Linked DNA regions of Styela clava. The protein of the gene in region 3 purifies or fractionates together with the protein of the main gene of each other region. This does not show direct contact. Links are inferred from orthologs where the notes say so. Each region holds a gene or a part of one and is shown on either strand. Other genes may lie near its edges. The genes, in order: serine/threonine-protein phosphatase PP1-beta catalytic subunit, CCR4-NOT transcription complex subunit 11-like, F-actin-capping protein subunit beta-like and CCR4-NOT transcription complex subunit 9.

Region 1 (7,194 bases), on a different chromosome or scaffold from region 3:
GTTGACATTACACGCAATTAATGCTTTACATTATAACATTTATAAAACGTGATGCAACCTTTATATCGCATGATTGAATTTTTTCTGAATAGAACAACATAAGAAAGAGTTTACAGGCTATGCGAGAAAAGAAGGCAAGCAAATTCTATCTTATTAACAGGATTCCTTTACCATAATGGCCTTATTTAGTGCTTGTGTTAACGAGTGATTTAAAAAGAGCACGCACCAAAATTTGATATCTAATCCTGAGGTAAATGAGGTTAATGAAATGTCTTGTACAACAGTAATAATTATGCCGGCAAAGTATGTGTTAGATATCGTGGCTTGAAGAAAATATGACTTAATTATTATGACAAAGTAGAATAATTTGTGACTGAGAAATTTATTAAATAAGTAGTTAGTTTCAGCATGTCAATTAAGGTGTGAGAACTTGCAGAAAATTAAAACATAAATATCAAAATAAATAGTGAACCAAGGAAGAAGCACATAATGCAATAAAATGGGATGACTTCCATTGTCATCGAGCTACAAAGAACTATAACTGCAAATGGTGTTTTCGGTTTCGTATAAACTGTACAATCTATATAGGTATAGTATATTATTATAAAAACTGTTTGAAGAATTTAGAAAACCGTGTAACATCTATCACTTATCGCAAGTTACTGACTTACTGGTACTCAAATTGTTAACAATTTTTTTTATCCAATTTATGAAGAAGAATATTGTATTATTAATGATAATATGGAAAAACAAATATTAAAATTACATCCATACTAGTATACTTGGTAATTAATTTTTATTAAAATAAATATGTAAAAAAAAAATCAACAAATTCATTAACAATTTCCCAAATAAAATTGCAGTAACAAATATCACCGGTCCAAACTGGATTCAGAGTCGCAAAACATTGCACACACAAAATTTGACTTTATTTTGCCCATTTATCAAAAGTAAGATTCCTTCTTATCAAAGTTTAGTCTATCTGTGACAACAGTAATTAGTTCCTATCATTTATTAAAGGTTACTTTTGATATACAGCATATTCTATATGCCGTAATTTCCTTGCTTAATTAATACACAGAGAAAATATAATTTACTCCTATTCAATGGTTTCCCCCATTGTTAAATCAATGTTTACTGTAATCAATACCACGAATCAACATAGATAGTGTCATACTGTAGTGTTATGATTAATCAAATTAAAAGTGATAATATTCTTAGAAATTGAGACTAATGATTAATGAACATACTGCACAATAAAAAAATTCAAATTTACATTCCAACATAAAGGCATACAACCACCCTATCAGACTTTTGGTGTCTACACTTTTCGTAAATCAAAAATTGTACAGTGAAATTCTAGAATATCAAACTGATATATGCTCCTACTTACATTCATCATGAAATCCATATATACGATTGATGCTGGCACATTCATGATTCCCTCGAAGTAGAAAAAAGTTTTCAGGATATTTGATCTTGTATGCCAATAACAAACAAATACATTCTAGAGATTGTTTTCCTCGATCCACATAATCACCGAGGAAAAGGTAATTAGAATCAGGCGGAAAATCACCATACTCGAATAAACGTAATAGATCTGTATACTGTCCGTGGATGTCTCCTAATATTAATGAAACATTCGTATAATGAATCAGGTATGATCATCATATTTACATTCTATTTATTAAATTCTTCGATTAAAGATTGGTCTATCAATTTGTACAGTTGGACTAAGAAAAGAATATTCTTGTGACATTATAGACAATATTATTTTCTGTATTATATTTGTCAAGGAAATTCATTTGAGCTGTTGCAGTAGGGAAAGTTCTCAGATTCCACGATTTTCCGACATTTGTTTCTATAAAACAAACCGGATCGGATTATTTTTTCTGAGAAATGCGATGGTGGTGTTTTTAGATTGCTCTTCCTTTTAGTTTTATTGCACAGTTCCGAATTGCTAATTTTTGCCTATATAGAGGCCCAGACTGTCTCGTAAAGGAGGGGTATGGGTTTGCACTCAACTGTAATCGATCGATATCTTTCAATATGTGAGTTATGTTAGAATCGGAGAACTGTGCCATATTGTATTGTCCTAGCTCTTAACTTCAGTTGAACTTGATTGAATTTCTCAATAAAATCACATACTTAAATTAGGAAAACTAAATTCAAGATCATGATTTTATCTCACCACATATTTTCAATGGTGCTTCCAACTCCAAAAGAATAGGTTGACTTAAAAATATTTCTCTTGATTTGATACAAAGACCTTTAATTTCTGCTTCTGTCATTTGTACTGTTCTCCCCGGTCTGCCCCCACGAACTGAAATATAGAGAATGGTGTTTACGAAATGCTTTCAAAGTAAGATTAGCATTAAAGATCTTGCAGTAAGGTCAGAAGGTGATATAAGGCTATATGACAGTTTCTTCTGCATAAACCCATATTTTATTAATAAATGAAAAAAAGATAATAGGATAGGATTTACATATTTATCCTGGGGGAGAGGGAAGCCGATAAGACGGCTTAACCATATGACAAACCACGGCCTCTCGTCCGGTTACCATTCAATGTCGGGGATGGGATTAGTCAGTTATTTTTTGCAAGCATGGACTTGATGGTGGAGGAAGCCATAACCGACCAGCGGTTACGTGAACCACCCTACGGCGGCGAGGAGTCCAGCAATCCTCTCGCACATGACCATCCATGCATGTTGAACCTGAGAAACCCACGAGGAGTAATCAGAGGTGCAGTGGTCGAGCGTATTACTAACGCTTATCACGATGAGCCACACTCTGACACTGCCACGCCGGTGATAGCCTATTTGGTTAGAGAAGTTAATCATATCTTGGAATTGAAATTAAAAAGTTAGTACTAACCATCAAGAAGGCGTTTTATTAATCCATCAACATCTAGTTCACTGTCTGCCATGTTCTTTAAATATTTTAAAATCAATAACTAGATGATAGACTAGAATGAAAATTCAAAATAAATCATAAATCGTTAGTTGCGCCAATTGATTCTGGATGACACAAGAGTGTGAATGATTTTTAAAAAAAAAGATGGCACCACACTGCAAGTTTTAGGAACATGCTGTCGATGAATGTTTGGCAAAAAATTAAACTCAAAGTATACAAAACAGTTTAGCACTTTCTGACTTTAAAAATGTTCGGAGCAAAAATGCATAAAATTGAATTTATTTTTCGAATAAATCAGGGTGAATCCATGAAGATTGAATTTCGCATTGCAGTATAGTTAAGGCAAACATTGCTCAGATAGACTTTATATTATATAGCCTACATGCCGGATTAGGTCTAACCATCTTGATATCAAATGCTTGTAATGGTGAATTTTTTGAATAAATATATTGTATGACAGTACAGCAGTATGAAGTACAGTATAACTAGTTTACATGTACTCGAATATGTGATTTATTTCAACATGGCTGGTTTGAAGCTTCTGCAGGTGTAGACTACTGTTACAAAACAGTGAAATACTGGTATTCACTATTCCAGTATTCAGCTGTATTTGTAGAAACAAATCTGATACTGGTAATACTGTAATAGGTTTAATAGGTCAGTAGGTTTGTAGGTAGACTATCTGCTGATCTGATCAAAATCGTAATTCTAGAAAATATATATTTATTCTGCATATTCAGATATTGCTGTATTGCCACATACAGATTTGAGGAAGAATAAATAGAAAAGCAACATTCACTGTTCAAGAAGTGTGGTATCGGTACGGTACCGGTATCACTGTATCAAGCCAGTCACCGAATGTTACCGTATAGAACTGAAATTATTTTGCATTATTCAACTTAGAGCTAAAGTTACATCATGATTCTGTAATTTGTATCGTTATGCAGTTGTGGGTAGGTACGGTAGGCACGTACCGTTCTTCTCGTTTTCGCAACTCCCAAGGCGATTGAAGAACGAACCATACGGTAGTACCGGTAACGGTACCGGTACCAGTAACGTTTTGTGACCGAAAAGTCTGTGGGTCTCACGTACGTCCAGTGTAATACTTTTAGAGGGTGTGGCTAAACAATTTCTACATATGTCATTCCTGGCCCCATCTGATGATGTAATCCAAACATTACGTCAACGTGACGACATGATATATATAGAGCTTTTTGCGTTATGGCGTCCGCATCCACTTAAACAAATAGGGGTACCGTACGGTACAAACGCCAGCGATCTCTCGCATCGGAATTATTTCGATTAGCTGAAAATAAATATGAACAGCGAGCAGGTATAAATCAAATTCTCGGACGAAAGTTCAAGAGGCATCAGAGCAACAGCCGAATTTTGCTGCGTTACCGGTATAGTAGGACAACAGACATGAATATACAAATAAAACTCTTGTACAATACACAGGACAAAGAGGTACTGCACCATGATGATATGTACAATAGGCAGTTTATGGCACGTTCATCTCCCAGGTTCTGATGTGAATAGGGTATAAATTAGGGTTAGCATTTCGGGACCAGTTTTTGAAATCCCGGTATCGGGATATTCCGGGATTGAGCCGTATAATCCCGGGATTTTTCGGGTTCAAGTAAAAGATCGAAACAACTTGCATGACAATAAAATTACGTATTTATTTCATGTAATATCGGCGCGGAAATATTAAAGCATCTATCAGTAAGTAGTTTATTTTTCACCATACTTCAAAATAGGCACAAACATACAAATTGCAATAAATTATAAATAGGTCATATTTCAGGGTGAAGGAGACGCGGGAAACCAGTACTGGTTATTGAGCACCGGCGCCCATAAAATAAGACTAATACTATATTATAAAGAAGAAAAAGTCGAACTAAGTATATGTAAATTGAAAAAAAATGTAAGTAAATGGTTCCCAACCTTTTTGGACACGTTTAGTGGCCATAACGATCGTTTCAATATTATGTTGTTGTTGTTCTTTGACACGTTTTTAAAAAGTCGCTTTTCTTTTCGAATACTGGACCAATTGCTTTGAAATTTTCAGTGGTTAAAGATTAATTTTTTCGCTAGAAGGCTATTACTTTTATTTATTTCAAAATTTTGCGTGAATTCTATGAAATTTGATATTTCGTCTAAAATTTTGCTGTATTATTTTTTATCCATGGGAACACGGATTTTAGTCAGTGTCATGACTGGCTGTACGTTTTGATTCTGCAAAATTCTTGCTACTGGAAATTCAGAACTTTTTTGAGGGTACCGGTAGCGTCAAAGGTACCGGTAAGGACTGATTCGCTCTGGTCTAACGTGTCCATATATTTGTGCGTAGCTCTCTTGTTTTTTAAATCGTGGCACACTAGTTAGCTCTTTCAATTTTCGTGGCACACCTATCACAAAACACGAACATTTTCTAGTCATGAAGAGTGCGATATTTGAACACGAACAAATGGTTAATAGTTACAAATTTAAAGCAAACGAAAGCGTCTTCGCAACACCTCACATTGTTGTAAAAGTCGCGCGGCCGCATGGGTAATACGTGGTCTTCAAACGCACCGCCGATCACGCGCTTCGGTTTTGCTCGCCCTTCCACGTTATGCTTTTATTATTGGACACGTTTAGTGGCCATAACGATCGTTTCAAAATTTTGTTGTTATTGGACACGTAGTGGACATAGCGATCGTTTCAATATTATGTTGTTGTTGTTCTTGTTATTTGACACGTTTTTAATAAGTCGCTTTTCTCTTTGATTACTGGACCAATTGCTTTGAAATTTTCAGTGGTTGAAGATAAAAATTTTCTTCAGAAGGCTATTACTTTTTTTTTCTGCAATGACGTCATCAGAATTATTGCCCTTAGGGGGCGCTACGTGTCCATATATTTGAGCATAGCTATCTTGTTGTTATTTTCTTTCGTCATTATCATTAAAAAATCGCCTTTCTCTTCGAATACTGGTCCAATTGCTTTGGAATTTTCAGTGGTTCAAGATTGATTTTTTTGCCAGAAGGCTATTACTTTCATTTATTCCTGAATTTTCTATGAATCTTATGAGATCTAATATTTCATCCAAAATTGCGCTGTATTTATTTTTAATTATGGGAACACGGTTTTTAATCCGCCAAGCGTGACGGCTGACTGTGAAAATTCTTGCGACTGAAAATCCGGAACTTTTTGAGGGTACAGTACCGGTAACGTCAAAGGTAAACCCTGCTTCGCTCTAGTCCACGTGTCCATATATTTGAGCGTTGCTCTCTTGTTATCACTCGTATTCTCACTTTTTCACAACCCAATTCATTTTTGGACACGTAGTGGACATAACGATCGTTTCAATATTATGTTGTTGTTGTTCTTGTTCTTTGACACGTTTTTAAAAAGTAGCTTTTCTCTTCGAATACTGGACCAATTGCTTTGAAATTTTCAGTGGTTAAAGATTAATTTTTTCGCTAGAAGGCTATTACTTTTGTTTATTCTTAAATTTCATATGAATCCTATGAGATATGAAATTTCATACAAAATTTCGCGGTATTTATTTTTACTCATGGAACACTGTTTTACACTTATTTCAAGCGGTTTCGCGATCGATTGTCTTGCTCAGTACTACAGCTACTGTAGGTCGGTACTGGTAAATTGCCATACAGGTACCGTAACGCAGTGAAATTGACTTATTCCTTCCGCGGTATTACTAATGCTGCAATGCAAGTTTTATAGCCTATCGTATGCGGAACGGAATATCAGACCTACAGGTTCGGTACCGGTACTGGTAGCTCAGTACGTAAGTACGATACTGGTACTGGTGCCGGTACCGGTGTCTTACCACAATGAAATTACCGTAACTTATTCTTTCACGGTCCTACCAGTGCAGTAATGCAAGCGTTGTAGCACTTGTAGCCTACTATATTTGTTTATTTTGATGAGAGTCTACTGGAAACAACATAAAATTTGAAAGGGAAGAATTGTTCTGTGATCAATTATCTGTCCTAAAGTGTAAACAACATAAAATTTGCCAAGGGAACAACTGTTCTGTGATCAATTACCGTATATGGCCTACAGTGTACAGGTAAGATGCTGGCTGACTGCTAACCGGTACTGGTAGCTCAGTACGTAAGTACGATACTGGTACTGGTGCCGGTACCGGTGTCTTACCACAATGAAATTACCGTAACTTATTCTTTCACGGTCCTACCAGTGCAGTAATGCAAGCGTTGTAGCACTTGTAGCCTACTATATTTGTTTATTTTGATGAGAGTCTACTGGAAA
Region 2 (7,246 bases), on a different chromosome or scaffold from region 3:
CGACATATGATGAATGCACATGCAAAATCTGGAGAAGATTCAATCTCGCTTTCGTGAGATATCGCGTGCATCTATCAGACAAACAGACAGACAAATACCTATCAACATACTTACCGATTAAAATCGATAAGTAATAAGGTGAAAAAAACAGTAGATAACAGTGGGAGGTAGGCTACTGTGGGTTGGTAGTTGCAGCGTTACTAATGCTTTCTACAGAAATAAAATCATAACTGAATTATTAATATTATTTTAATTTTTTTAGATGAACTTCTCTTATTGGACACGAAAGATTGTACTTTTCGCTAAAAGGCGAAGTCGTGAAGACTACGATAACGTTAATATACTCTGACAGATGGCATACTCGTACAACTCGTTTTGTCTTTCGTGTTCATATATTTGAAAATCGCTCTCTTGTTTTATATATTGACTTTTTTCACACATATCAGTTGTGTATAACGAAGGCTCCAATACCTTGATCGATGGGCCTTGAAAATTTTTAGAAGTCTCAAATGTGGATTCAATAACATTCAACACCTGCAAAATGTAGTACATAATGAGAAGCACTAGAACTAGATGATCATTTTTTATTCTATTCTACAATATAGTCGTAAACAGTCACAGTCGAATCTTTGTGACTAAGAGTATGATTGTTGCAATCATTTTAGACAAAATGTTCCCACTCATAACATTTCAGTATATTAGGAAAAAATAATATATATATAATTACACAACGATGAGACATGGGAAAAGGGCTTTGAATTGCAAAGGTGAGGATAACTATGTTACTATTGTCATACCCAACAAGGACTGGTAACCGGACGAGAGGCCGTGGTTCGCCCTAGGATTATGCCTCCCCATCGACTTTCCTCTAACCCCTGGATGAATATGAAAATCACCATTATCTCGTTTTCGTGGTCTGGCAAGCTATTTGTCAATTTTAGTTGCGTTTCCGCCATTTCGGTTCCGACAATTGCATAACCCTATAGTATTCTCATCTCCTGAGAAGTTTCAGTCCAGTGTCAGCAATAAACATTGGTCTCAAGAATGCTTACATAGATTAGACTAAAATTAGCTAACAGTGCTTTAAAATGGCAAGTGGTTGAATATTATGAATCATGTACACCGGTTTGTTTATGCCTATTCGCGAAAAACATAGGATAAGCAACAAAAATGAAATATTTTTCATGTGCCAAGTGTCGGATGTTTCCCGGAATGCCAAATTCCTTGTTTATTTTTATAACATGAGCTAACCAACAAGAGTCATTGTCAATTTTTTTTTTTATCAGTTTGAAAAATAAATAAAAGTCAACACACATTTTTACTGGGGAAGGGAGGCCGCGGGTAACCAAACTGGTTATCGAGCAGCGACACCCAATGCCCAACATGACGTAACAGTTGAAATTTTAGCAGCCGGTCAGACACTTTTCACTCAGACAGATTTTCTGGAATGTCTGCAAACATTCTGACCACAATGGGACAATTCTAGGACAATGTTCTGCATTTTCTCAATTTTGACATTAGCTCGTGTTATCGTTTTGCTAGCTATTTGTCAGTGTTTAGTTAGGTATAAATCAAATAACCATTTCAAACAAAACTATTTAAACATTCCCGAAACATATGCAATAGACAATGAAATCAATTACAAAATGCAGGTAGTAAAATATATGAATCAAAATGATGGTTATGAAGCATATAAATAGTTAGAAAGAGTTACTCCTGATGACAATGTCAAAATAAGCATAAAATGGTAGTTTAGTAGGCTACAGGTAGAATTTTACTTGGGCCACGGATCGGAGAAATATCCATCCCGTGGCGTCCGTAGGTTTATACTGGTCGAGAATTATTTTTCGGGAATCACTAAATTTCAGGATAGGATAAGAGCGGACTCGGTGGTCTATGCCTCGGCGAACGTTGGGACGCTGTCAATACTAAAATCCGTATCTCGACTTCTAGTGCTATTTTCTGCATAGAAATAATAGAAACCCCTAATCAAATTTTCTCGCCTTTCCGCGATTTTCCACCGTTCCCTCCAGAATTGGCAGAAAGACTATGAAATCTGTTTTAGGTATTCGTATTCATTCTAGATACCTCAATGCAGACTTCCTAATTTTCAATTCATTTCCGCATTGTTCATTACTGCATAATTTTAACGAAAGATCCTGCTTTTTAGTCGGCTCGGCTTACCCTTCCACCGTTATAACTATGTAAATCAACACAATATACGACAACGAAATTTTATTTCGATCTTTCGTAGGTGCTCCCGTAGTATGTGAACCAAGATGGCGGACACTAGAACGTAGAATGTGTACCAGATTAGGGTTAGGCCTGAATTTTATTCCAATTTCCCTTAGTTTTATTACGAGTTCGGGAACTAGCCAAGTGACTCCCGTAGTATTTGTACCTGAAATTATGGCCTAACTCTAACCTGGTACACATATTACGTTCCGGTGTCCGCCATCTTGGTTCACATACTACGGAAGTAGCCTTTCGTCTACAACACAGAACACGAATAAAAAAAAACAGACATGGGAGACGGAAAGATCGGGAAAATGAAAACACCTAGAAAAGGTCGAAAGCGAACGCCGTAACCAGCGTTTGTGCCCATTCATCCACACTCGCACAAATGGAAAAACACACCACGACAATCATCCCCCAAAAACATGCACAAAACAAATAATGAACACAAAACATAAACACACAGAATGATGGAAAATCGGGAAAACAGGCAAAACCTCAATCTAGTAAGGTTTAAAACACGTAGATTCGCATGTGCCTGTTTACACATGTTACACTCACAAACATATTATGAAAAAGATAAAAACACGAACGTGTTATTGTTCGGGCGTCTAACTTGTGTAACAAACAAATTGCAGATGCGGTGGGTTCCAATATAAATCTGTTTAGGTCGAGACGGACATGATTGGGATGTGTTTATATAAATGTTATATGCAATGTAGTTTTATATAAAATGCTGAAAATGCCTGGTCACTTCTTTTCCTTAGTTCTATGCGAAGCAAGTATGTGAAATTGGAATGGCAGCTAGCCGGTACAGCAATGCCAAAGTAGTTTATTTTTTTTTTTCAAATCCTGTTCTTTCGTTATCCATCATGCCTGTGCCTGTGTCGAAATGCGAATCCCAATAATAACATTCAAGTGATCAGCTGCTGTTTTATTGGTAAACAAACAAAGATAAGAAGTAAATACCGTAGCTGACAAATGGTTAGCTAACCCTATGGTTGTGTGTGCGAGTGTGAATGATTTGATTCAATAGTTTTAGGTGAGTGAACGCGTACCACTTCTTTTTGGCAATACCTTCCATCTTATATTCTGTACGTTTTAAATTTTGTCCAAGGTTTTGTTTGCTCTCCTGATTTCATAATCAGTTTGTATTCATTTGTTTTTATCAGCCATTTTATCGTCTTTTTGCTGATTATGGAATCGAAATAAACTTATCTTATCTGTCTAACATAAAAACTCGAAAACTGGTTTCGAGCGTTGTTTTGTTTCTTGTGTAACAAAATTGGTTCAAATTTAGAAAGTTTCCATTTGAAAATTTGTAATCCTAGGCAACCCTATCCTATGCAGGTGTATATTACACGTTGCTCACGCTTTCTAGTGTAATACCCCACATACACTCAAAAAGTTTATTTGCCGCTCCTCTATTTTAGGGAATTTGCCCGTTGTTCCCGTATTTTAGTACAGGCAGTTTTCTGTAATTCCCGATTTTTGGTGCATTTCGCATTCGGTAGCCCGCAGGGTAGACACCAAAGTGACTATAACACTTTAGTAGGTACTAGGTACCGTACCGGTATTAACGTATTGTGTGGGCGATCTTAGCTGTGCATTTCGAGGAAATTTTTTATTTTATTTAAAGCTAATTCTCGAACTAGACTAGGCCAACGACTAACGAACTAGACTGATCCGGTACCGTACGATCAGTAACTAACGTACGGTACTTCTAGTGGACGTAGCATAACAATTTTTTGATATCTCAATCCTAATCCCCATCTGATTACGCTATCCAAAAATTACGTCACTACGACATCACAATCACGTCATAGAGCTTGCCAAATATACGTACAATCGCCCAATTGGTATTGGCGCCGGCGATAAAGAACTGACTGACGTTATCGATCTCTCTCTTATCGGAATCGTTGCGACGAGAAAACGAGGGAAATAACTGCTCGATTTCTGGTGCTCGTTTGCGCGTCTTGGATGGGAGTTCGTATAGTTTGAAGGGCTGTATTACGTCACTGTGATGTCGTGTTGACGTAATTTTTGGATGGTGTAGTCAGTTGGGGGTCAGGATTGATACGTGAAAAAACACTGATGGAATGGACATATGAAAAATGAATATTGGATTATTTATCTTATGATTGCTCGAATGGTTATATACCGGTACTTTTTGTTATAATTTATTATATTATCCCATTAAAAAAAAAAAATGTCATGCTACGCCCACTAGAAGTATGTTAGGTACGAAACTACATCAGACCCCGGTAAGTTTAGGTTGACTATTTCAATTTTTCGTTATTTTGTTACCGTACCGGTAGAACATTGAGGGAGAAGAGAAATGAAGTTAGCTTTTACTATGTGGGAGAGTAGAAGTAACAAGATTTCAAATAAACTGAAAAGATTTACCGATACAACAGTAGCTAAAAATGAATTCTGGTGGGTCTGCAGGTTTTCATTGTCACAACTGCACAATCTCGTATTACTGTATTACAGTCAACTCTTTTAAATTTTTGTCAACTCTTTATTATACTGTTTTCGAATGGTTAAATTTGCTTCCTAACTGTTTTGTCAAATCTTTACAAATATTGTAAACATATTGCATTTGTTAATACTGTAATATCCGAATATATCTAAATTAAATATTGGGTGTTAGCAATTTTGTGTGTTCTGTCATTGAAAATTGTCACCACTGGCATGTCTCTGCTTCTTAATCAATCTTGATTGCGGGCATGTCTTGAATCAGAACACTGGTCAGTTGTAATCAGCTAATACATTCCAGAATAATATGTATTGCTCAATAGGATATTTTTAAATACAAAATCTTCAGTTTCTAAATACAGAAATATGGTATAATCATATAAACTCACTTTTGTGATTACTTGGCATAGAGCTTGTTTTGATTTATTTTTTTCACAATTACCAGAAGTTGAATGAGTCTGAATATCTGATGTCAATCATAAAGAAAAAAACAAGATTATTTCGTAATGATAATAGGCTAGTACTTTATAATATACTTCTAAAATTTAAATATCAGGGACAATCCCTTTGGGTAGAGTTGGTGCTGAACCAGAGGTTGGTAAAATAATACAAATGGTTTTCACTCTTTGGGAGAAATAAGCTTGTATTTTTTCATTCCATGGTCTGATGCAGCAGTAAGTTGATGCTCAATATGTGTTTTCTCTAGATTTGACAAAAACCTAACTTTAGATTTGACAAAAACATAACTCGAAGGGTCTCCAAGAGAAAACAATGTCACTGACCACAAAAGAAATAGGACATGTCATGAACCTGCTACGGGAGGATACAGTTAGCACAACCACTTTTGACAGCCTCGGTTCTGCATTACAACGTCTTGGATTCAACAAGCATGATCATTTTCGGGTTGGATCATCTATTGTTCTGTTACTACAAAATCGAGATCTACTTCCTGGTCCAAATCAGCGACTTGCCGCAATATATTTGCTTTATGATATGTACAAAGCGGAACCAGTTGCTTCAAACCCTTTTGCTACAGTTTTCGTACACTTGCTGCAAAACACACAAAATTTGACAATTTCTCATGAAATACCTGCAATGGGCAAACTCCCTCCATTGTCAAGTTCTGAAAAAGCATTTTTGTCGCAGCTGATATCATTACCAAATAAGGACTTAGTTAAACGTACACCTAAGCAAGTATTGTTTTCAGAGGGTGAAAATACTTCTCACCCACAAAAATCTGTTTATGATGTTAGCGGTTTGCAACTTTCTTTAGTGGAGCGGCAATCCCAACTGCCAGTGCTAAACAAAACTGGTATACCTTGTGTGATGCCCCACCCTGAACCTCCCAATATGCAAAAAGCCGATCCGCCATCGGATTCAAAGCCTGTTCAGCAACAGGTCCTTGAAAGTTTGTTATCTGGTAAATCAGCACCAATGACAGAAAACATAAGACCAACCTTTGTGCGACCCATTCCACTTTTACATCCTCCAGATAATGAATTGGTCTGGATGAACCCAACTCTGCCTGCACGTCATAAATTCCTCTGGGACAGTCAAATGACAAAAAATACAAACAAAGCAGGTGAAGTAAGAAAATTGATGACAAAAGCGTTTAAAAATCCTTTAACGAATGGTCAACAACAACAACTTCTTGCGCAATTAAACGATGATTCCAAGTTGGTCTATCATGTGGGTTTGACTCCAGCCAAACTACCAGACTTGGTTGAAAACAATCCACTTGTTGCCATTGAGGTTCTGTTGATGTTAATGCAATCTAGCCAAATAACGGAATATTTTTCAGTTCTTGTGAACATGGAGATGTCTCTACATTCAATGGAAGTCGTTAACAGACTAACCACAGCAGTGGAATTGCCAACTGAATTTATTCATTTATATATTTCTAATTGCATATCAACATGTGAAACGATTAAGGATAAATACATGCAAAACAGATTAGTTCGCTTAGTCTGTGTATTTCTGCAATCACTGATACGGAATCGCATTATAAATGTCAAAGACTTGTTCATAGAAGTGCAAGCATTTTGTATAGAGTTTAGTCGCATAAGAGAAGCGGCTGGACTATTTCGCTTGCTGAAGCAATTGGACACTGCAGAAGCAGAGGCTGCTAAAAAATAATGTTTTACATATGAAATCAATATAAAATTTTCAGTGATGCCACGTCATCAAATAAACAATCAGAATTGTGCAAGTATGTTTATGTACTTATATCGATACAGAGAAGGGTCTAAGTCAGGGGTGGGCAATTACTTTCCCGAGTGGGCCGGATGCGGAAAATAGACTTGATTACTGGGACGGATGATCAAAAATGTTTATTTGCAAATACCTAGATACAACGATTAATGTGACTTCATTACAAGGGGGCTGGCAAATTACGGCAGCTGCGCAGCGAAATTTGATAGAAAAAGAAGCTCAAGCTCAACAGCTACGCTAACGTTAAAATACAGCACAATGTAACAATTGGGGTCATTATGACGCCAATTGATAAATAGGTTTTTGAAAGAGAGTAAATGAT
Region 3 (7,527 bases):
GAACTAATTGATTTTAATTGTAACGTTTTCTTGTGTTATTTTCTAACAAAACAATACCACGACCATTTTTATATATACCTAAAATCGTTACTTATAAATTCAACTATTACTGCAAAGAGACTTCCTAATACAACGAATGTCATTTTTCCAATGATAATACGGGAAGCACGTCGTAAACAAGTCAAGGTGCGGCGTTATAATTACAACTTCACGATTAGTTTTACGTTCTATTCTTGTTTACAATTTTTCATCCCCCGGGATGAAATGGAAATCTTATATTATCTTATACGCCCATGCCGGTTATGCTAATTTGTCTCAAAAACATTATTTGAATAGAAATATAACAGAAACAGATATTTTTCCTTTTCACGGTGCCAACATGACCATTCCATTGGTAAGAAAAACGACGTGAGCGAATCGTCCGTGTATTGCTTTCCGCCCCACTTCCTTCCCGTGGAGCAGAAAATAATATTGCTCTACGAAATCAGCAAAAAGACTAGAAAACATAAAAAAAGTTGTACCAGAAACTCAAAACTATCAAACTTGCACCAGTTGGTACTTGTCACACGTTTCCAGCTCTTGTCTACTCTGTAAATAAAATCAGCAGCAGCATTGATGCGCCCCTGTTTATGTGTCAATTTCATGAATTGAAAGATTGAATGATTCTTCAACCAAAAACGGTTTGAAACAAAGACAAAAATATAAATGTATGTATTTTTTAAATTTCCAGGTTATGTGTGTACTTTTTATATAAATCTTTTTGTCATCAAATTTGTCGTTACAGAACAAATATGATAACACATAGAGAGAAGGATAACGTATCAATGCAGCAAAAAGTGAAGGAATTACCAGGTAATATGACCAAAACTTGCAAGGAATTCGAAACGGTTGCTCACCTGACAAATAGGATATATCGGCGGTGTGGCGCATCGTGCTAAGCGTTAGGAATACGCTCGCATCTCTGATCACCCTTCGTAGGATCGCAGGTTCGAATCCCATGCGGGAATGATCATGTGCGAGAGGATTGCTGGACTCCTCGCCGCCGTAGGGTGGTTCACGTAACAGCTGGTCGGTTACGGCTTCATCCACCATCAAGTCCATGCTTCCGAGAACAAAATAGCTGGCTAACTAATCCCATACCCGACCTGGACTGGTAATCGGACGAGAGGCCGTGGTTCGCCATATGATTGAGCCGTCTTATCGGTTTTCCTTTCCCCTCCGGGATAAATATGTGAATCCTATCCTATATGACACATTAACGAAAAACTCCAAAATCAGTGTCTTTTGAGATTAGTATGAAGTTCCACATAATTGAAACAGAGTTGTTTAGAGCTTATTGCAATAGAGTTGTTATTTTCATTTTTATTCATCGTATCAACGCTTTTGAACAATTTATTACATTTAGAACTTTAGTTGATGGTTGTTGTGGACATAGCCGCTAAATTGGTGCGCTATTTAGAGAACTGGTTGTGCGCGAGTCTGTCAAGGACAGTTGAACGTCGTGGCTCAGTAAATAATATGACTCATCATTTACATCAAAAATTAAAAGCTCAATTTCTTCGATATAGCACGGGCGTACATTTTTCACGCTCTCTCACTCACGATTACCACTGTGCCCGCCTTCGTGAAGGAAGTTGTGGACAAGCATTGATGCGTAACTCTGTCGGCTTTCTGCGATGGGAGTGTTCCGGTTCTTGTTTGTCCAATCGCTCTCAGGCTGGCAGACGTGTACCGTACCGATGCAGTTTCGATTTTTGTCTTAGTGCTTTGGCTGTTGGGCGAGGGCGGCACGCGAATGGCTGTATTAAATAGAAATACTCATCGCCGTAAATTCACAATGTCTCACAATCAGAACCGCTGTTCTCCACCGTGGTTGGCAAAAATTAACCTTTTCCTGTTTATGATGCCAGCATGCCTGATCATTTGCTTGTCAATTTTTAAATTTATACTCCTATATTCAATAATGCTGTCCCACAGTAAGTGCGCCAAATACTTAAATAAGTTGGATATATCTCAAACCTATAATCATCGAACGAAGGTCATGCTAAAGTCAGAAAGTCAAATATAATTAGCTGTCATGAATCTCTGTATGAGGTAGTTGCCATTTTCATCGCAATGTGATTTATCGTATGGACTGAAAGTATGCTATAATGACTGCAAAATAACTTTTGATGGAAATGAAAAAGATATAGTCTGTTTTTGTTGGAGGAGAACAGAGAATATGATTTGTAATTTAATGCAGTAATGCCCTATCTGTGAATATATCTACACATTTCATATCAACCGAAAAGTGCATGTTTACCTTTGAAAATATCATATATTATTGGTGACATGGAATGAATAAATAAAATATATGAAACATTCTTTCAAGCGAAATTAGCGACATTATTGAATGAATCAAAGTATTGTGTGACAACCTCTTTCGAAGACTTAGAAATTGTTATGTAAATACCTAATTTCCGAATTTACTTTGTCAGCTATTCAATACCTAGCATACACATATTTCAGTATTTGCAATTGCAACATAGCACTCCCTGTTGAAATCGATAATAGTGCGCATACATAGTGCAGTAGTGTGTTGTATATTTTACTTATTTTGTCTCTTTCATTTTCTCCTATCATAAATACCCATTTACCAAACAATGGTGGAAATTGGAACAGTACGTAACTATTGCATCAGAAAATTGGAATATAAACATAATATATCAGTATGTCAAAATTTTTCTGTTACTGTTAATATCAGAATATGGAATTCCTAAACATTCAAATGGTAATATTATTGAGAAAGCCGATCCCTGATATACTGCAATCACTAATTAACTATCACGAGGGTGGTATAACACAATTGTGCCGATTTAATAATTGTATTACTAGGATTCAGTATTGTTTTGTAAAACCCTCAAAATCATGGAAAACAGTATAATGGCCTGTACTTCTTGTTTTATTTAACTGTGAATGGCAAAACCAAAGCGCTTTAAATGATAATCTCTCTGGTGGAAATATCTTATATTAATCCTGATATCGGGGATTCTGCCATATTGAATATAATTATTTAAATGGAACTAAATTATGAATGCAGGATTGGGAATTGGGATATATTTGAATAACATAACTGATCGGTTTAGAAGAAAATTGTCAAAATCTATTTTCTGATAAATAAATCAAAAATCTATAAATCAAAACATTTTCTGCATTTTTGTTTAAATTTAGTTTCAAGCATGTGGCAATATGGGAGATTTCAGTATGGCACAGTTTTCTGATTTTGAGATGTTCAGACATTTTTCACGAAAACAAGGGCATCCTGATGCATCGGTAGATCGTGTCATGCTTGTCTCAATAAAAATTTAAATCAATTACGACGTGTGTCGGCCATCACATGACCAAATTTCTCCACACTGCCGTTTTTTGTTAAAAAACTCTTGGATGCTACGGTTTTTCTTTTAGGTAAATAGGATTATTCGTGACATGTTTAGAATACGCTTTTTTTTAGTTTATTGCGCAGCTGCTGGTTCGCCGTTATGGAAGCCTAGACAGTCTCGTGTAGGAGGAGTTTGCACTCACTGTTATAAATGATATATTTTAATGTGGGTGCTATTCTTGGAATCAGAACTGTGCCATACTGGATTTAGTGTTTTACTATTAAAAATGGTACCTTGTAATGACTTCATTATAGGGGATGAATGACGAAAAACCAACTGTTATGTTTCTCGATAATCCAGCCAGTTCGTAGTAGACCAACCTCAATTTATCTAACATTGAGTGAACTGGAATATCTGTTTCAATATACCTCTGCAGCTACTGGCAACAATGCCGTTACAACTTTTGTGACATAACAATATAATAAAGCTTTTCATTCCTATCAACTTTCGCTGAATCTATTTCAGTTCTCTTTGCTCATGTTACATGATAGTGACTGCAGTAAGATTGCAAGCCAGCAAAAAAATAGGATTCTCTCTGAGTGGAATTCCATCTCAAACTTATTTAAAACCATGAATGAATTTGTCGTAGCACTGTTATCTCTTTTTGGTTCTTTATATGCACACAAGTCCATGTTTTTTAGCCATGAATTTCAGTACCAGAAATCGCTTCAGTCCTGCATGTGTAAAGTTCAAAACAAGCCAGAATTATAAATCTTGCGGAAAAGATGCCACAGCAATGTAGATGTAGATTGATTAAATCTGTTACCCGCATGCTTTTTCCCATGCTATAAATATAATGTAAGACCCACTGAGTAAAAATGGTTTGCCATTCCTGCTATGGGGCTGACTGTCAAAAGTTTATTATGGAAGTGATTTGATGAAGGCATTTGAAAAGTAGTTACCAAGTGTATGATTACTCATTTATTTTGATAAATTTGTATTATAAATAATGACTTTATAGTTAATTTTCAGTTTAAAGTAAAGTTCAGATGTGGAAGCTCACAAAAAGTCTATAAAAGTTATTTTGTGAAACAGTACCGGTAATTTTAATATGATTATTAAAATATTCTTTTGTCTGAAATATACAGGTTTGTGTATTTATAATAGGCATATTATAGGTTTATTACTTCCCAAAGAAGTGTTCTACATCGGTGTTTCAGTCTTGTGACAAAAAGAAAAATGGTGAGTAAGGGTTACGAAGATGATTTATCCAGTTTGCCATCAGGCATCAACTTTCTTCTCTGCAAATGGAACAATAATTGATACAATGGTTCTACAACCTTTTTGTGGTCTAGTATTTGAGGGGTCAGATTATCTATCTGAAATAATAACATTTATTTATTTGTCTATCTATTTATTTATGTATCTGAAATATTTATATTCAATACAATAATGACGTCAAAATTTTTTTTTTTTGTACATTAACGATTACTCAGAGTAATCGATGACAAATTATTGAAAACGCCATAAAACTCCCAAGATAGTTAAATGATATATTGTCCAGGCCACATGCCAAATTTCACCCTGTAAATAATAAAAGTTGTTAATAACGATTTATACGTTTTTACACAGCCAATTTAAAAACTAGTGTATATACCTAGTCCGCTAATAACAAAATTTGTGTCTACGTTTTTGTCAGATTTGTATTTCTAATTATTATTATTTTATGGTTTTCTCAGATGTCATGAAGTAGAATTGGAGTATTTAATAGTGAGCCTACATCCATGTGTCAATAATCTTCTTATTTTACAGACGGAGCAGCAGTTGGACTGTGCGCTCGATTTGATGAGAAGGTTACCTCCTCAACAGGTTGAGAAAAATTTGTCAGACCTCATTGACCTTGTTCCAGAGTTATGTGAAGACCTCCTGTCCTCCGTTGATCAACCGCTCAAAATAGCTCGAGATAAGCACAGTGGAAAGGATTATCTTCTTTGTGATTATAATCGTGATGGTGATTCTTACAGGTTAGTTGTATGGACCTTTCATCACACGTTGTAATCAGTTTAATAAGATCCTTTAAAACTTCTTTAAATCTTGCCTCTGGTGTCGTCTTTGCTTTTGTGAGTTAGATTATTGTCATTCAAATACATGTTTATTATAACAGAGATTCTATTTTGAATACAACTTTGTCACTATTATTGTTTCACTTTTTGTCATCTTTTCTCTGAATCAAACATTAAACCATCTTTCATTTGAGCTTAGTTATATATATTGCATAAAGTTAAATCCTATTGCTAATGCTCAGAAGAATCTGAATATTTGGGAGCATTGAAAATTAGAGATATTTGTTATAGTGAATTATTACGTATGAGCTTTTTTCTCTGTTGACATTACTCAAATTAGAATTTATTTGATAATACAAATATAAAATTTATTTTCAATTTGAAATGTATTTGATTTAGACTAGTGGGCGATTTGGGCCATAGTCGATTCCTATTAGTTTTTACATTCCTAATCATCATAATATTTTTATTATTGTTTTTTATATCTTTAATAATATTGTTGTGTCTTTGATAATAAGGAAAACAAATAGTCTGTTTTTTTCTCCGGCTAATATGGATATCCATAAACAGAGAAAGATGGCATGTTTATCGCCTTCCACCATATAATTAATGGCTTAGGGATGGATCATCATTATGAATATGACAATCCTATTTTAAGTAGATCGAGAACTATATTTATCCTATTATGTCACTGCTAATTTTATTGCAGGTCGCCATGGAGTAACAAATATGATCCACCCATAGAAGATGGTGCTGAACCTTCAGATAGATTACGCAAATTAGAAGTTGAAGCCAATTCTGCATTTGATTCCTATAGGGAAATGTAAGTATAAATACAGGGCTGGCCGGACAGTGGAGGATATTCTTTGATTCAATTTAAATCTTCCATGATTGCATGGCAGCAATAAATATTACTGCTTATATTGCTGAAGCTTTGAATCGACTCAAATTAAAGAACTCTATATTATTCCCATAAGCGATTAGGTATTTGGCACCAATATTATTGCTCATATTGTTGAAGCTTTGAGTCGACTCAAATTGAAGAATTCTACAGTAAATACCTCATTAATTTATTAAATATTTCATAACTTAGTTTGTGTGCGCTGGCCTGGTATTTTTTAAATACCTGATGCTTATGAATCTATATTTTATATGAATCGTGTTATTGATGTCATCGATTTTAATATTCGAACCAGGGATGTTGTCCAAAACGAATCGAATATTCAAACACATTCGAAATTTATTATATTCGATATAGCGAATTTTCAAATTTAGGAATGAATTAGAACAAATCAAAACATACAATATGTCAACTGGCAGGAAACAACACAGAGAAACCAATGCTCTTTATGTTTGTGCCAGATGTGATCAACATGAAGATATAGTGATTTATGTAATTTTTTACGTGAACTCGCCCCCAATTCAGAATGTATTCGATATTCTATATTCGAATATATTTTCTCAGTATGTATTCAAAAATGTGAATTCGAAAATTCAATTTTGGCCATTTTTTTTTTACGTTCATAGGTATTATGAAGGTGGTGTATCATCTGTGTACCTCTGGGATCTTGATCATGGTTTTGCTGGTGCAGTCCTTATTAAGAAGGCTGGTGATAACACGAAGAAAGTCAAAGGCTGCTGGGACTCATTACACATTGTGGAAGTTCTTGTAAGCATGTTTTAAGATATTCTTTTTTTTTGATTACTTTAGAGATAATGTTAGAGTAACTACTCAAAAAATAATGTTAGTAACTATTCCAGAGTAAGTTTTTGTAAGCATGTTCTAAGATATATATATTTTTTTATTATATGAGAAATAATGTTATAGTACGGTAACTATTCCAGAAATATTGTTAGAGAATCGTACATTTGGCTGAATTAGGACTTCACTTACAGAAAATTCATTGAAATGGTTGGTATATTGTTTATATCAGTCTTATCAGATGTATTCGTTTTGTTATATGAGGCTCTTACATAAATACAGCCACACAGGTACTTATTTGAATTTGGATATTCTCAAACCCTGTTACTTATTAAACTCTGGTTTGCTAGATTATCGTCGTATGAGTGTGTTTCTGTTTATGTGATGGATGTTATTAACAGAA
Region 4 (7,312 bases), about 1.1 Mb from region 3:
GAATTAACAAATTCAGAAATTGGCATAAATCAATTATTCCATAAATATCATTGAATCCCATCAAAAATAAACGTTAAAATGAAGTCTTTCGCTATTTTTAAATGTATGAACAAATGTATTTACATACGTAAGAATGTTATATTACTTAATTGAGATTATACTTCAGTATTTGGAATCCACATATATTACACTGCACTATTTGTCTATGAAATATTTTGCACCTTTAAAATCAACCTCCCAACAATTCAGACCTGTGGATAGTAGCCTATTAGACTATGTACCTACCATATGGTACAGTATACTATTACTACCTATATTATATAGCATAGCCTATTTACCAAAATATTATATCACAATATTAACAGTTGACATTGTATTTCTCAAACGTTACCGTACAGTAACATTTTTAAAAGACACAAAGATAATATCCTACGCTAGGTAGCAAAACACTTGAGTGATACGATATCACTGTATTATCAACATTACCGTAACATACGGCCATATACCTACAACAGATACGGTACAAAGAAAATGATTTTCAATCTAGTAACTAGTATCACTATCTTCTAACTAGTCTGACAATGTTTTAATACGGCGCCATATTAGGTATTATTTAAGATAATGTTCTTTTAATACGAATATTACCAAAAAGAAAAAGAATCGAGAATAAATTGAAAACACGCGACTTTTCTCTTTTTTTTTTTTTTTTTTTAATTGGTTCACTCATTGAGTGATTTCAATAAATATGTAAAAAATAAATAAACAAATAAAATAAATTATAGTCCACATTCCATTCATGATCCATTTGTTAAATTGAGTTTCACAGTATTTCCAGTTTGTTTCATCAGTAATAAGTATCCAACGATAATAATGTTTTTTTAATAATTACAATGATATAATACAATATAAAAGGAAATACACAAAATTAGTAAATACAAAAAACTTATTATAAACCTGATTTAATATCTAAATTAATGCTTTACATAAATTTTGTAATTCTTTTTCAAAGGGTTTGTCTACTCTGGAATTTTCTATATTTTTTCTATACATTAGGGCCATTTTTATCTGTTTTTTAAGGAGAGCAATGTCAGGTGTTTTATTTTCAAATATTATAGAATTTCTCATTATCCAAATTTTATATCGCACTATTGATAATAAAAGAATAATTGCATTCAAATCTAATGCTGTTATATGACTAAATAAAGGATCATTAAAATTCAATAATATACAAGAATCATAATTTATAACAAAATTTATTCTAATTAATTTTAATATAATTAAGGAAACAAATTCATCATAAATTTTCTGAGTAAACTTACAAAACATAAAAATATGTGACACAAACTCAGGTTCTATATTACATAATAAACATAATTCATTTCCTGCTACTCTTTTGATCTCTGGTTTTGTTTTCAAGGGTAGAATATCCCATATTAACTTATAGTTGAAGGTCCTCATATAATTTGCCAAAATTTTATTATGAATACTGTTACAAGTTATACTGAGATTTGAATTACGGATAATTACAAGTCTTTCCCCATTAATACTTTTTAAAACTTTATCATATATAATTCTATGTTCACCCATTTTAATATCATTCATATTTAAACTATAAGTTTTCATAAAATTAATTACGCTTTTATAATATTCACGCGACTTTTCTCGCACGAATGTCCTACAGGAGATAAAACGCCAAGGTGGTATGTCGTATTTCAACCCTTGCCTGACACCCCGTGATGTCGACTATCTTATCCAACTACTGTACCAGCATTATCGGTTGCGCATTGGTTGCGATATAGTCTAATACCAAATAATTGAGAAATAAAGTAAATACGTAAAATGAAGGTTAAAAATAGATAAAATAATAATATAAATCATTACATACAGATGAGACAGTATAAATTTCATAATAAATATTGATCATTTGTATCCATATTGTAGCATATCCGTTGTAAATCCCATTTGTTGTCATCATCAATTATATGTTCCATGATGCCATTTACCATTATTTTAATTAATGCACGGAAAAGAAAATTTTAAGAATTAGTTCCACTTCATTACGATAAACACTTCTAGTCATATTTATATATATTTGCATAATAAATCAAGTTCTTCACAATAATTAGGTAAATTTCTCAGTCGTTCTATATTTCTCCTACACTTTATTGAATTTCTTATATTATTGACTACATTATTCACTCTTGGCATTACATTTTCAAAAATCACTGCATTTCTTTGCAGCCAAATTTTATATCTTGCAGTACATATCAATAAAATAATAGCATTTTTTTCTATATTGGTCAAATGTACATAATTGTTGATAGATAAATAGAATAACCACAGTTTACTCGAATACGGGGTATATATTTATAAAATTTAGTCGTTGGAGGTCGCTTCTCGAAGATGAAGTCAAATGTCTACGGTTGCCACTTGTCAGATCATTCAGAAGCCTAAGTTAAATAAAACGATTAAAATGTAAATTATATAAAAATATAGCTGATATAAAATTGCTGATTGGATTAAATGTGGATAAACTCAACTCCTGGGGGCATATAATGGAATATTTTAACTTGAAGACATCATGGTACCGGTAATGGTACCGGTATGAATTTGCATTTGTTTGGATTTTTATTATAGCCCATTATTCAAATGTATTTGGGGGGGGGGGGGGGGGGATTAAATTGCCAAATTCCCAAAATATAATAGTCTAATTCGATTCTAAAATCTCAATACAAAAGTTCCGTTTGGCATTGGAATATATTTGGCACAAAAGAAAGAAAGCCTGCCTAAAATAAACTCTGAAGGCACAGAAGATGTGTTTGTTCCAATACTTGGATGAATACTGGAATATGGAAATCTATCTTCAATTAAACGTTGACAGGCCGGCAAAAAGGCCTGTAGTTAGTAGGATAGAGAGAGTGAATTTATTGCTTTTTATCAAACCAGAAAAACAAAACGATCATATAGTCTACAAAATAAGAATTCAGAGTTTCGATATACGAATGGGAGGTAACTGGACTAGGCGAATATGTTTTTTTCTTAAAAAACCTTCGACGGATGGCAGAAATCATATAAATATGCATATTTTCAGTGGCGCAGCCAGGGGTGGTGTTAACGATCAACTCTCTTTCAAAATTTTTGGAAGGCCGGAAAAGTCAAATAATAACACATTTGATTGCATTTTTGCTAAAATCGCCGATTGTTTTTGTCAGCGTGATACCGGAAGTCATTTCTGTATTTAGGCCGTAAAACTCCTTTAGGTTCTGTGTTTATTCTCCCTAAATCACATATTTCCCTCAACATGAGTATGTCTTGTGCCACGACAATGATGATAATTACCTTTTCTTGTAACCTCACAGAATTGAGAATCAGTGAGCGTTAATATAAATTCACCGGCGTCGAGATATTAATCGCGTGTAATCGCGTCGACCGTTTCAGAAGGGAATAGGATTTTTGATTTTGAACCCCCTTAAAACCCTTAATTAAAAATTCTGGCTGAGCCCCTGTATATATATATATATATAAACGAAATGCAACATAATAAACTATGATAATGACATAACAATTAGCGGTATCTAGAAAAAAAGGTAAAGCAAAGTGTTAAACTATTTCACTTGAGTTCGGTGGGCTACATCAAATCGTTACCCCCATGAGCCGAGTTTTGGGAACCACTGGATTATAATCATTTTAATGTTTTCCAATAAATGGCAAGAATATTAGTGTAATTACTAATTGTGTTACTATAGTATGACTATTCAAAATATACTTTTCAGTGGGAATATTTGTTTTTGTGTATGAAAATTATCGCAAAAAAATTCTGTCAGCTCAAATTTCCATGATATTTTGCTAGCTTCACAGAAATCCATTCCGATTCTATTTTATCATCATTATTTTTTTACTACAATGTGTACTTTATGGTATTCGGGAGTAAATCATTATATATCTTTGTTAACTTTTTACAGTATTAACATAAGAAAAGCATTATGTATTACACTTTTTATGTTTCGGGCTATTTTCTTCTGTTTTGTGTAAATTCTTCGTTTTAGTGTGGTGTTCATCTGTTTTGTGCTGTAAAAAGATTAACTCCAGCAGATTAACTCATGCAGCTCAAAACTAGCTACTCGTAAAAGTCTATCCTCCCAAAGCAAAGGTTATTACTTATCGATCTTAAGATCGGTAAGTATATTGATAGGTATTTGTCTGTGTGTATGTCTGTGTGTCTGTTAGATGCACGCGATATCTCACGAAAGCGAGATTGAATCTGCTCCAGATTTTGCATGTGCATTCATCTTATCTCGGACCAGAATCCTATTGATTTTGGGCGAATTATGTCGTATAATTAGCGAGTTATCAATCAAATATTGATATAGTGATCTAGATTTTTGTAAAGCGAGAGAATTTTGAAACCCGCCGAGTGTGTGTGTGCGGTGCGCAAGTTACAAGAGCGGATGAATCGAAACTGCAGTTTCTGTTTTGGGGGATCCCCTAACTATCGATCGATAAGTCTTCGGTTTCCAACCGATATTCTCGTTTTATTCATTACATGGATTGACCTATTTGGATAATTAAGATACAAAGGCTTATTTAAGATTTGGTGTAGAAAAAAAAGGCTCCTCCGCCAGTGTCTGTCACATTTTTAGGATGCAAGTGACTGAATAACATATTCTGATGTTTATGAACCGCGATGTCTCCCAATTCCTTTTTTTTTACATCCATCAAATATTTGAAAACTGAAATTGTTTTATTCTACTTTATCGATATAGCTCAATTAACAGAGAATTTTATAAATACAATTCTGATAATTACAATAATGGCTGCTGCTGGACCTATGCATATTTCGGGTGTTAATGCGGGTGCAATTCCTGTAGTAGAGAGGGAAAGCATTTACCGATGGATCAATGAACTATCAAGTCCGGATACGAGAGAGTCTGCTCTTTTGGAGCTGAGCAAGAAACGAGAAACAGTACCTGACCTTGCACCGATGCTTTGGCATTCTTTTGGGACAATAGCAGCATTGTTGCAGGAGATTGTCAATATTTATCCTTCTATCAATCCACCGACGCTGACAGCCCATCAATCAAATCGTGTATGCAATGCCTTAGCATTGCTTCAATGTGTTGCTTCACACCCAGAGACACGAACTGCTTTTTTAACCGCTCACATTCCATTATTTCTTTACCCTTTTCTGCATACTACAAGTAAAACTCGACCATTCGAGTATCTTCGATTAACGAGTCTTGGCGTTATCGGAGCGCTTGTGAAAACTGATGAACAAGAAGTTATTACATTCTTGCTAACAACTGAAATCATACCGCTCTGCTTGAGAATCATGGAGTCTGGGAGCGAATTGTCAAAAACTGTAGCGACTTTTATTCTTCAGAAAATTTTATTAGATGATACTGGTCTTCAATACATTTGTCAAACATATGAGCGCTTTTCACACGTTGCCATGATACTTGGAAAAATGGTTATGTCTCTTTCAAAAGAACCATCTGCACGTTTGTTGAAGCATGTCGTCCGGTGTTATCTTCGACTTTCTGATAATGCTCGTGCAAAAGAAGCTTTGCGTCAGTGCCTTCCAGATCAACTCAAAGATACCACATTTCTTACAGTTCTGAAAGATGACAACACAACAAAAAGGTGGTTGACACAGTTAATTAAAAATCTCCAAGAATCTGGTATCCCAGACCAGAGAGTGATAACAATGCCGCAGTAGCGAATTCAAAATACTAGAACAAATATATTTGAATTGATATCAAGAACTGATATAATATTCCAAAAAATCATACAATAAATGAGTAAATTATTTTTTATTAATAGTGAACCCACATTGAGTTGTATTATAAATATTTAGATTTTTCTCACCATTGTCTTTGCATTTTTCACATGTTCACAAGTCACAACTGGATAAAATTTTAATTATTTTCATTTTTTTAATATTTTCAATCTCTATCCACCTTACTACATAACGGTAGCCATAACCGATATGATGTTTGCTAATCTGGTTGACTTGATATTACCATGAAAATTGCTTAATATGTCTTTTTACACCTATACATGAAACAATTGTTAATATCATATCATTTTTGAATACCCAATATCCTAAATAAGTTTGATGTGAGCTTGTTACTTCTTGGATATCGGTCATAGCAACGCTTTTTTGTATATTTTCTGAACGCACATTGTTAGATATTCCAGTTGCTTTTCTCTGGTATAATTCCCTTTTACTCCCGATATAAACTTGCTATGAGTAAATTCAGTTTAAAGTATTTGGGTCAAATCCATTATGCCCATCTCAAGATCACTGATGCAGATTTACATTTTCAAATTTGTACTGGGCATGGAAAGAATAAAAAGTAGAAATTCAATCCAACTTGATTAACCTCGATTTTGAGCTTCGGGGTCAAATAAAATTTGTCTATATGTCATCAAATGATGAAATTGTCAGGAATAAATACCCTGTAACATTTTTTGTAATAAATCCAATTTTTATTTGCACTATTTTGCAAATTCATTGGTTAGCAATAATCACGAGTCGTGACAATATTTTCTTTTGAATACTTTTGTAGTTGACAAGTATCTTATTGAGCCAATAATCATTACAGTTTTTCTATCTGCAGCTTTCATTTGGCTTATGACAGTGGTATGATGCCGGTCTTTCATTTTGTTGTGAATAGGAATAAATATTGCTTTGTGCCTTGTGTTGAAATTTGATAAAAATGATAATGTTTAGTATGTAATTTGACTATTATTATTTTATTGGTTCTTTATATTAAATAATTGTTATTTTTTTGCCAGATCTAATGTATGTATGTTTATCTCTTGCAAAAAAATTGTTTAAATAATCAAACCATGGAATTTGATCGGCTTGCTATTATGCGAGTATTCCAGGGTGCTTGGGTGTCATTCAGCTCCGGTGACCTGAATAAAACAAAAGAAGCGCTCCAGTCTTTGTTTAATCCAACAAGTGATGTACTTTCTTCTCATGTAGAATTTTTCTCGCATTGCAAAGATTTAAAAAGCAACAAATCTATTGCTCTCTTCACTGCAAAGAATTTAGACGAGTGGTACACAGACCAGACAAAACATGGAAAACTTCCTTGTGTGGTGAACATGGAGTTAAAGCTTGCGATAATGCCAGTAATTGTTGTTGCCCATTCAGCAACTTCAAGCATTCTTATTAAAGTGTTTGAATTAAATAAACCGCCAAATGAATTCTTAAAGCCTTTTATTGACGATTTATTAGCTCAAGAAAAGATAAAAGAAGCCATTTCAGTGGTGATTAAACTCAATATGCAAGATCATTTCACTC

The links.
Region 1: the proteins of F-actin-capping protein subunit beta-like (region 3) and serine/threonine-protein phosphatase PP1-beta catalytic subunit purify together in Homo sapiens (affinity purification with mass spectrometry; 3 studies listed by BioGRID and IntAct, with this or other methods). This does not show direct contact. The link is inferred for Styela clava from reciprocal best matches to the Homo sapiens genes CAPZB and PPP1CB.
Region 2: the proteins of F-actin-capping protein subunit beta-like (region 3) and CCR4-NOT transcription complex subunit 11-like purify together in Homo sapiens (co-immunoprecipitation; 3 studies listed by BioGRID and IntAct, with this or other methods). This does not show direct contact. The link is inferred for Styela clava from reciprocal best matches to the Homo sapiens genes CAPZB and CNOT11.
Region 4: the proteins of F-actin-capping protein subunit beta-like (region 3) and CCR4-NOT transcription complex subunit 9 purify together in Homo sapiens (co-immunoprecipitation; 3 studies listed by BioGRID and IntAct, with this or other methods). This does not show direct contact. The link is inferred for Styela clava from reciprocal best matches to the Homo sapiens genes CAPZB and CNOT9.

What each region holds. Positions count from the first base shown.
Region 1 is NC_135250.1:14,154,897-14,162,090, forward strand, and holds the start of serine/threonine-protein phosphatase PP1-beta catalytic subunit, read right to left. Parts: upstream 3,004-7,194; 5' UTR 2,930-3,003; coding exon 2,878-2,929; intron 2,324-2,877; coding exon 2,192-2,323; intron 1,625-2,191; coding exon 1,394-1,624; intron 1-1,393. UniProt on the Homo sapiens protein: Protein phosphatase that associates with over 200 regulatory proteins to form highly specific holoenzymes which dephosphorylate hundreds of biological targets.
Region 2 is NC_135260.1:20,403,987-20,411,232, forward strand, and holds CCR4-NOT transcription complex subunit 11-like, read left to right. Parts: upstream 1-4,236; 5' UTR 4,237-4,499; intron 4,500-5,419; 5' UTR 5,420-5,484; coding exon 5,485-6,849; 3' UTR 6,850-6,925; downstream 6,926-7,246. UniProt on the Homo sapiens protein: Component of the CCR4-NOT complex which is one of the major cellular mRNA deadenylases and is linked to various cellular processes including bulk mRNA degradation, miRNA-mediated repression, translational repression during translational initiation and general transcription regulation.
Region 3 is NC_135256.1:14,405,060-14,412,586, forward strand, and holds the start of F-actin-capping protein subunit beta-like, read left to right. Parts: upstream 1-4,500; 5' UTR 4,501-4,598; coding exon 4,599-4,601; intron 4,602-5,171; coding exon 5,172-5,383; intron 5,384-6,131; coding exon 6,132-6,245; intron 6,246-6,949; coding exon 6,950-7,091; intron 7,092-7,527. UniProt on the Homo sapiens protein: F-actin-capping proteins bind in a Ca(2+)-independent manner to the fast growing ends of actin filaments (barbed end) thereby blocking the exchange of subunits at these ends.
Region 4 is NC_135256.1:13,256,454-13,263,765, reverse strand, and holds CCR4-NOT transcription complex subunit 9, read left to right. Parts: upstream 1-4,742; 5' UTR 4,743-4,810; coding exon 4,811-5,716; 3' UTR 5,717-6,799; downstream 6,800-7,312. Other genes in the region: exonuclease mut-7 homolog, read left to right, coding at 6,808-7,312. UniProt on the Homo sapiens protein: Component of the CCR4-NOT complex which is one of the major cellular mRNA deadenylases and is linked to various cellular processes including bulk mRNA degradation, miRNA-mediated repression, translational repression during translational initiation and general transcription regulation.